2 linked regions of the Mus musculus genome follow. The protein of the gene in region 2 interacts with the protein of the main gene of each other region in a pairwise test. Links are inferred from orthologs where the notes say so. Each region holds a gene or a part of one and is shown on either strand. Other genes may lie near its edges.

Region 1 (3,749 bases), on a different chromosome or scaffold from region 2:
GCTCTTGGGTTGGCTGTGTTCTCAGCTGGTAAAGTGGTCTGCCTGAGGAGTATGAGGCCTTGGGTTTGGTCCTCAGCACCCTGTAACCTGAAAGTGATGGAGTCTCATGCCTGGGATCCCAGCACTTCAAAAGTGGGACGGGAAGATCAGGAGTTGAAGGCCATCCTCAGCTACATGGAAAGTTCAAGACCAGCCCGAGCTACATGAGACCCTGTCTCAAAAAAGAAGGAGGAGGAGGAGGAGGAGGAGGAGGTAAATGGTAGGTGTCCAGACATAGGGATACCTCTTCTACATAATCACAAAGGCCCCGATAAAGCCTCCAGGGAATGAGTTGAATGAGGACATGTGTACCCACGCGTTTGAGGATATGTATTTCCACGGTTCCCTATGGAGCCACAGCAGTGTCTTGGAACCATGGGGCCGGAGCAGAAAAACCAAGAGACCTGCCCTCAGGTTCGTGTTTCTCTTCTTTTTGAGCTCCCAATTTTCTTTCCCCAGGATTCCTGGGGTTCTAGGACTGCCCCCAGACTTAAGCTGGCGACATGCCACAAAATCTTCACCCTAGTGAACCCCTCTTCTGTCTGTGTAAATGGAGTTTGTTTGTTTGTTTGTTTGTTTGTTTGTTTTCGAGATAAGGTTTCTCTGTGTAGCCCTGGCTGTCCTGGAACTCACTCTGTAGCCCAGGCTGGCCTCGAACTCAGAAATTCGCCTGCCTCTGCCTCCCAAGTGCTGGGATAAAGGCGTGCGCCACCACGCCCGGAATAAACGGATATTTAAAACGCCATTTTTTGCCCTGAAAACAGACACTCAGGGGCTAACACCACCTGCTATCCTTTGTGCACCCCTTAGTTATCCACTCCCTGTGTCGGTGAGGATGGCAGGTATGCTGAGGGCGTGTGCAGAAGTGGAGAAGGGCTGCGACCTGTTAGGTCACAGGAATCCCGATCCTGGCGCCCCCGGCTCCGGTGGCTGGGGCGTGGCCTGCTGGGGGAGGTCCCTACCTCCTCCCGCGGCGATATAACAACAGGTCGAGGACTGCCACCCTCCGCGGCGGAACTCCTGTTCTGGTCTCTCGCTTCGCTCTCCTCTCCAGACAAGATGAGCTTCACAACTCGCTCCACCACCTTCTCCACCAACTACCGGTCCCTGGGCTCTGTGCGAACTCCCAGCCAGCGGGTCCGGCCTGCCAGCAGCGCAGCCAGCGTCTATGCAGGTGCTGGGGGCTCCGGGTCCCGGATATCCGTGTCCCGCTCTGTCTGGGGTGGCTCTGTGGGGTCCGCAGGCCTGGCGGGAATGGGTGGAATCCAGACCGAGAAGGAGACCATGCAAGACCTGAACGATCGCCTGGCCAGCTACCTAGACAAGGTGAAGAGCCTGGAAACTGAGAACAGGAGACTGGAGAGCAAAATCCGGGAACATCTGGAGAAGAAGGGGCCCCAGGGCGTCAGAGACTGGGGCCACTACTTCAAGATCATCGAAGACCTGAGGGCTCAGGTAAGGGGCCTAAGGGGGGAGGGGCAGTAGCTCCGGGCTGTTCTGTCTATCCAGTGTGCCCACACCCCCAAACTTGAATAGAGTGTGGGCTGTTGACTCCCTCCACTCTTTCCACATTCACCACATCCCCCCACACACACTCTATGGGACGGAGTTAGGAATACTCTGGACTCTCACCCACAACCTGTAGGAATTCCAAGCGTAGTGGTTACACACGCGAGCCGGCTTCCCCCAAGCAGTGTAGTGGGAAGAGAACAGGATTGGAAAAAAAATAAAATAAAAAGGTGTGTGTGGGGGAATCATAAAATGAACTCAGACACTCACTTCTTTTCCAGTAGGAACAGTTAGAGGGTTAAGCGGATGTGGCTAAGGCTGAGTCATCTAGGAGTAAACAGGAGCTTACCTGTAGGAGGGGCCAGCGGGACAAGTGGGGGGGGGGGGCGCGTCCCAGGACGGGGGGGGGGGGGGGGGTTAGCAGGTGCACCTGGAGAAGATGCCAGGAGAGGATCAGAGAAATCTTGTTGGAAGCTGCTCTTTTGTAAGCAATCCAGATAGTGCAGGCCCTGGCAGAGGGGCAAGGAATCCAGGAAGGGAGAGGAGGCTCAGGTGGGAAGGGAAGACAGAAATACACGCCTCTGACTGTTCCTGGGACTGGGATGGATTCACTGAAACACAAGACGTGTTTTCTCATCCCCCACTTCTCCACACACACACACACACACACACACACACACACACCCTCATGTGACCCGGAACTCTCAAAGCGACTCTCTCCACTTTAATCCACCCAGATCTTTGCGAATTCTGTGGACAATGCCCGCATCGTCTTGCAGATCGACAATGCCCGCCTTGCCGCCGATGACTTTAGAGTCAAGTAAGTCCGGGGCTGCAGCTGGAGCTAAGAATGGCCTACTCCCAGAACTGTATTAGAGTAGGGTTCCTTCCTTTCCGAAGTTTATTCAGGTTAGGGTTCATTGACTACTGAGTTAGCTCTTCATCTGTGCAGCCCAGTTTAAGCAAACGCTCCAAGGCCAAGAATCGTGCTAAGGGAATGACTCCGTGACTGTTTATGGTGGGCACGGGGCTAGTCTATGGAGGTGGCACTGGTTGAGAAGGTTCAGGCCCTCTGATCACCTCCACTCCTTCAGGTATGAGACAGAACTAGCCATGCGCCAGTCTGTGGAGAGCGACATCCATGGACTCCGCAAGGTGGTAGATGACACCAACATCACAAGGCTGCAGCTGGAGACAGAAATCGAGGCACTCAAGGAAGAACTTCTGTTCATGAAGAAGAATCATGAAGAGGTAAGCCGGGCCACTGACCAGGCCTAGGAGCTAAGGGCCAAGACTAGGCGGGCCAGGCTGCCCCCAAAGCAGCCTAGCATGGAAGCAGAAGCCCCGGCTGTTAGCCTGTTTTGATTAAGAGCAGAGCCATTGGCTCACACATGTTCTATGGCTCACCTAAGTTACACTATTGAGAGTCAAGATAACATTAAGCCAGTTAAGGCCTGGCTTGTGCATCACTACCTCCTGGAAAGCTGAGACAGGAGGATTGAGTTCAATGCCATCCTGTCTTAGTCTAGTAAAACAGAGATTGTGTGAGTAAGACCCTGAGTTGGAGGCAAAGGTGGGGACTGCCAGTCTTAGGAGCTGGTGCTCATGTGGGCCTTCTGGAAGAAGCTTAAGGTAAGATCTGTGGAAGGAAAAAGCAGCTACAACGAGGAGAGGATATCACCAGCGAGTGGCAGGTTCAGGCTGTCAAGGAGTGGCATTCCCAACCAGCTGGAGCAGAAGCCCAGTCTTAGGCTTGCCAAGGGTTTCCTCTGCTCTCTTCTGCCTTTACACTCAACATCACCTTCTAGAAAAGGCCATCAGTAATGAAAGGCTGGGCTGAACTGACTTTAAGTGTCACCTGCCACCCCCCTTTATTTCTGCCTTCTTTAGGAAGTCCAAGGTCTGGAAGCCCAGATTGCCAGCTCTGGATTGACTGTGGAAGTGGATGCCCCCAAATCTCAGGACCTCAGCAAGATCATGGCGGACATCCGCGCCCAGTATGAAGCGCTGGCTCAGAAGAACCGCGAGGAACTGGACAAGTACTGGTCTCAGCAGGTACAAACTAGGAAAGGCTAGCTGCCCGCCCCCACTCCGCTTAAGGTAAGCTCTGTGTGAAGGGGAGGTGCCAAGGACAGCAGGTCATGACTGACCCTCCTCACCCTTCAGATTGAGGAGAGTACCACAGTTGTCACCACCAAGTC
Region 2 (3,649 bases):
AACTGTATAGCAAAACCTTGTCTCCAATCAAACAAACAGGCCTAGAGAGATCTCTTAGCTGGAAATAATACTGGCTGCAAAAGTGTGAAGGCCTGAGCTTGACTCTTAAGCACCTACCTACATAATGGCTGGGCCTTGTTCCCTGTGAGAACTCCAATCCTGAGTAACAGAGGCAGGAGCTCCCTGGAGCTCTCTGGCCAGCTGACCCAACTTAAAGCAAACTTCAGGTTCAGTGAGAGAGCCTGTGTTAAGACAATAATGTGAGAAATGACTGAAGAAGACATCAGGCAACCTCCTATATCATGTATGTTTGTAGGGATGCACACTTGCATATAACACACATATATAGAAGTAGATATATAGAGAGACCCCAAAATGAAGTAGGACAACTGTTTTTTGGGATTAATCAATATTTGATAAGTAGTTACAGATAAATGGTTATCATAGTCATAAATATTACGGTTAAAAGTTGGTATCTGTATAAAATGTCAAATTAAAGAGGCTCTAAGAGGGTCCCTTTCTTTGCATCACTTCATTGGCAATCACTTTAAAAAGTCAGCTCAGTTGGGGTTGGAGCCTAGAGAGAAGGCTCAGTTAAGGGTGCTAGCTGCCCTTGTAGGTCCCAAGTTTGGTTCCCGGCACCTACACCGAGCCGCTCACAGCAACTGTAACTCCAGCTGCTGGCAAGCCAACAGTGACTTCTGCACCTTCACTCACATGTACCTACCCACAGAAAGGGAGACACACATGAATACACATCTCTTAAAGGAAATACAATTTTTTTTAGTGATTGGGATGTGTACATAAAAAGAAATATGAGAATCTGTCTCTGTCACTCATAGCTGGTGAGTTACTGAAATAACTTGGTCTATTTAGGATATTCTAAAATATATATTTTAATTACAAACTTTTATCACTAGATTGGATTGGAAATAAAGCTTCACAGTATAAAATATAATTTATATACGTAGTTATAAAGTAATAGGATATAGCTGTCTTTTGTAAAATCAATTGGAGACTTTTCTCTGTAAGGCGTACGTTCTTCATAAGTATTCTTACTGTGTCTGTTTCTAGCATGATGTAAAGAATCGTCGCACCTTCTTAAAGCGGACCAAGTATGAGGACCTGCGCCTGGAAGATCTATTTATAGGCAACAAAGTCAATGTGTTTTCTCGACAGCTGGTGTTGATTGACTATGGGGACCAATACACAGCCCGCCAGCTGGGCAGCAGGAAAGAGAAGTAAGAACAGCCGGGCCATCTTTTTCCATTGAAACCTTGCCTGTGACTTTGGCCACTAACTTCTGATTTCCTCTCCTCGGTCATGTTTTCACAACATAGTTTTTCCAGCGACCTAATATAATTTTATAACATTAAAAATATTTTGGTACTGATTCAGGGATTGGTTCCTAATTAGAATATTGAAGCAATATCTGTAGTCTTAGGAGGTGACTGTTTGGATGGGTGGGTGGCAGAGATAAAGCTCTTACACATTCTATCTGCTTTTTATATTTGTCACTAAAACCTAAGACTATTTGAGCATAAGGTTTTCTTCCTAAGCATAAGCATGATGCTGGTACGAATCACGGTAACCCGGGAGACGGTGAAGTTAGTTCTTGCAAAACTGAAGGCTTTGTGGGTTTGTTCTGTCTTGATAAAACTGAATTAAATTATTACCCCAATTAGATGAACTGGGGAGAAATGCTAATCAAAGGAGTGAGTATAGAGAAAGATCCAAAGGTGGGAAATCCTGTCTTAAGTTAGAACAACTATTTGCTATCCTGCTTGTGTAAGTTGGGGGCTAAAACTTATAAAAGTTTAATTACTACAACAATGATCTGAATTATTATGGTAACAGTAGATATGCAGAAGAAGTAAGGAGTGTACGTGATTAATAGAAATGCAGCAGTGCATGCCAGGAAGCAGCTCAGTTGGGGCAGTGCTTGTCTAGCAAAGATGAAGCCCAAAGGCCTGAGACCTAGCCCCGTGTAAAACTGGAGGTGGTGGCACGTTTCTGTCATGCCAGCATGTGGGAAGTGGAGGTAGAAAGATCAGAAGTTCAAGATCATATTAGTTTACAGAGGGAGTCAAGGGCCAGCTTGGGTTACATGTGACCCTGTCTCAAAAAAAAAAAACAAAAAAACAAAAAAAACAAAAAAGACAAAAAAACAAAAAAACAAAAAAACCAAATAACAAAGATCAAAGACAGTTCAAGTTAAGAATGGAAGTTCTAGAAACTTTGGGTGAGATGATGATGAGAAGCTGCCTCAGGGCAATTTAACAGAAGAGATAGGCAAGGTAACAGAGAATAGACCCTGCCCCAAGGAGAGAGCGATCAGAACATCAGAAATCACAAAGCAAGAAGTAGCTTGCTCCAGGGAATTTTATTCAGCTATAGAGAGTGAAATTCTAACATCTGCAAGGAAGTGGACAGACCTGGAGATCATTACATTAAGTGAAAGAAGCCAGATTACTGAAAGATATCAAGTGGGTTTTTTTTTTAAATATGTGGAATATAGATAGATGGATAGGTGGGTGGGTGGATTGATGGATGGATGGATAGATAGATAGATAGATAGATAGATAGAGTATAGAAAGGGGACCATGGAGGGAAGAAGTTTAAAGAGAGTGGGGAGTTGGGGAGTGAGAAATTGTAATAAAATATACACGTCATAAAAGCTAACAGATTACTGGGTGAAGGGAAAGGGACTAACAAGAAGTGAGTCAGGATTAGGGAGGGCGGTGGGGTGTGAAAAATAGCAGACTATAACAAAAATATCACCATGAATCACATTATTTTATATATTAGCTAAAAATAAATTTTTAAAAGACAATTATGTCAACTATAATGTGTGGGCAAACAAAAAGGACAACCCAGTGGGACGGAGTGGGCAGTGCACTGCTCCACTGGGGCAGATCCCTGCAGGAGGACCTGGGGCAGGGTGGGACAGAAGCCTCATCTGAAAGGGGACAGAGGAAGGGACTGGGTAAGCTCGGTCTGTGAGTGAAGGTCAAGGAGGTACATTATGAAAATGGAACACTGAAGCTCATTGCTCTGCGCAACCACTAAGATAAATTTAAATACCAAAACCCAGAAATTCGGGACTGGATAGGACCTGGGGACGATTCTTCTCTTGCTGTCTTACTCATTTCCGTGTCTTCTGCATCCCTGAGCAAATCTCTTTACGCATTGCAAGAGCAAGGTTAATTTCACCTCCGAGTTTTGCAGCCTTCATTCCGTGACTTTTTTGGCTCAATGCTTTGGGTCCCTGCAGTAGAACACATTATGAAGGATATTGAGTGGTAGAGGAAGCTGTTTACCTCAGGGCACAAAAGGGTCTGCAGTCCTAACAGCCCTTCTAAGCTGTGACCTAAAGACCTCCCAGTAGCTGCACCACACACACACACACACACACACACACACACACACACACACACACACTGCACACTCTCTCGCACACATGCAGATACCCCCACATGTACCTTTTTATTATTCTTTCCTTACTGCTTGCCACCCTGATTTTCTTTAGTTTTGGTTTAGAAAGAAACAGAACCAATTGGAGATGCAGCTAAAAAGCAAGCTTTAAAGAAAAACCAAAAACCAAAACCAAAAATGGACTTAATAATGATTCTCTTCTGAAAAATGATTT

Evidence for each region.
Region 1: the proteins of Nme7 (region 2) and Krt18 interact in binary tests that used the Homo sapiens proteins (3 or more experiments, as listed by UniProt). The two-hybrid records come from large-scale screens. The link is inferred for Mus musculus from reciprocal best matches to the Homo sapiens genes NME7 and KRT18.

What each region holds. Positions count from the first base shown.
Region 1 is NC_000081.6:102,027,181-102,030,929, forward strand, and holds the start of Krt18 (keratin, type I cytoskeletal 18), read left to right. Parts: upstream 1-1,035; 5' UTR 1,036-1,098; coding exon 1,099-1,494; intron 1,495-2,285; coding exon 2,286-2,368; intron 2,369-2,642; coding exon 2,643-2,799; intron 2,800-3,438; coding exon 3,439-3,603; intron 3,604-3,714; coding exon 3,715-3,749. UniProt on the Homo sapiens protein: Involved in the uptake of thrombin-antithrombin complexes by hepatic cells. When phosphorylated, plays a role in filament reorganization. Involved in the delivery of mutated CFTR to the plasma membrane.
Region 2 is NC_000067.6:164,331,538-164,335,186, forward strand, and holds part of Nme7 (nucleoside diphosphate kinase 7), read left to right. Parts: intron 1-1,074; coding exon 1,075-1,241; intron 1,242-3,649. UniProt on the Homo sapiens protein: Possesses an intrinsic kinase activity. Displays 3'-5' exonuclease activity with a preference for single-stranded DNA. Does not seem to have nucleoside diphosphate kinase activity.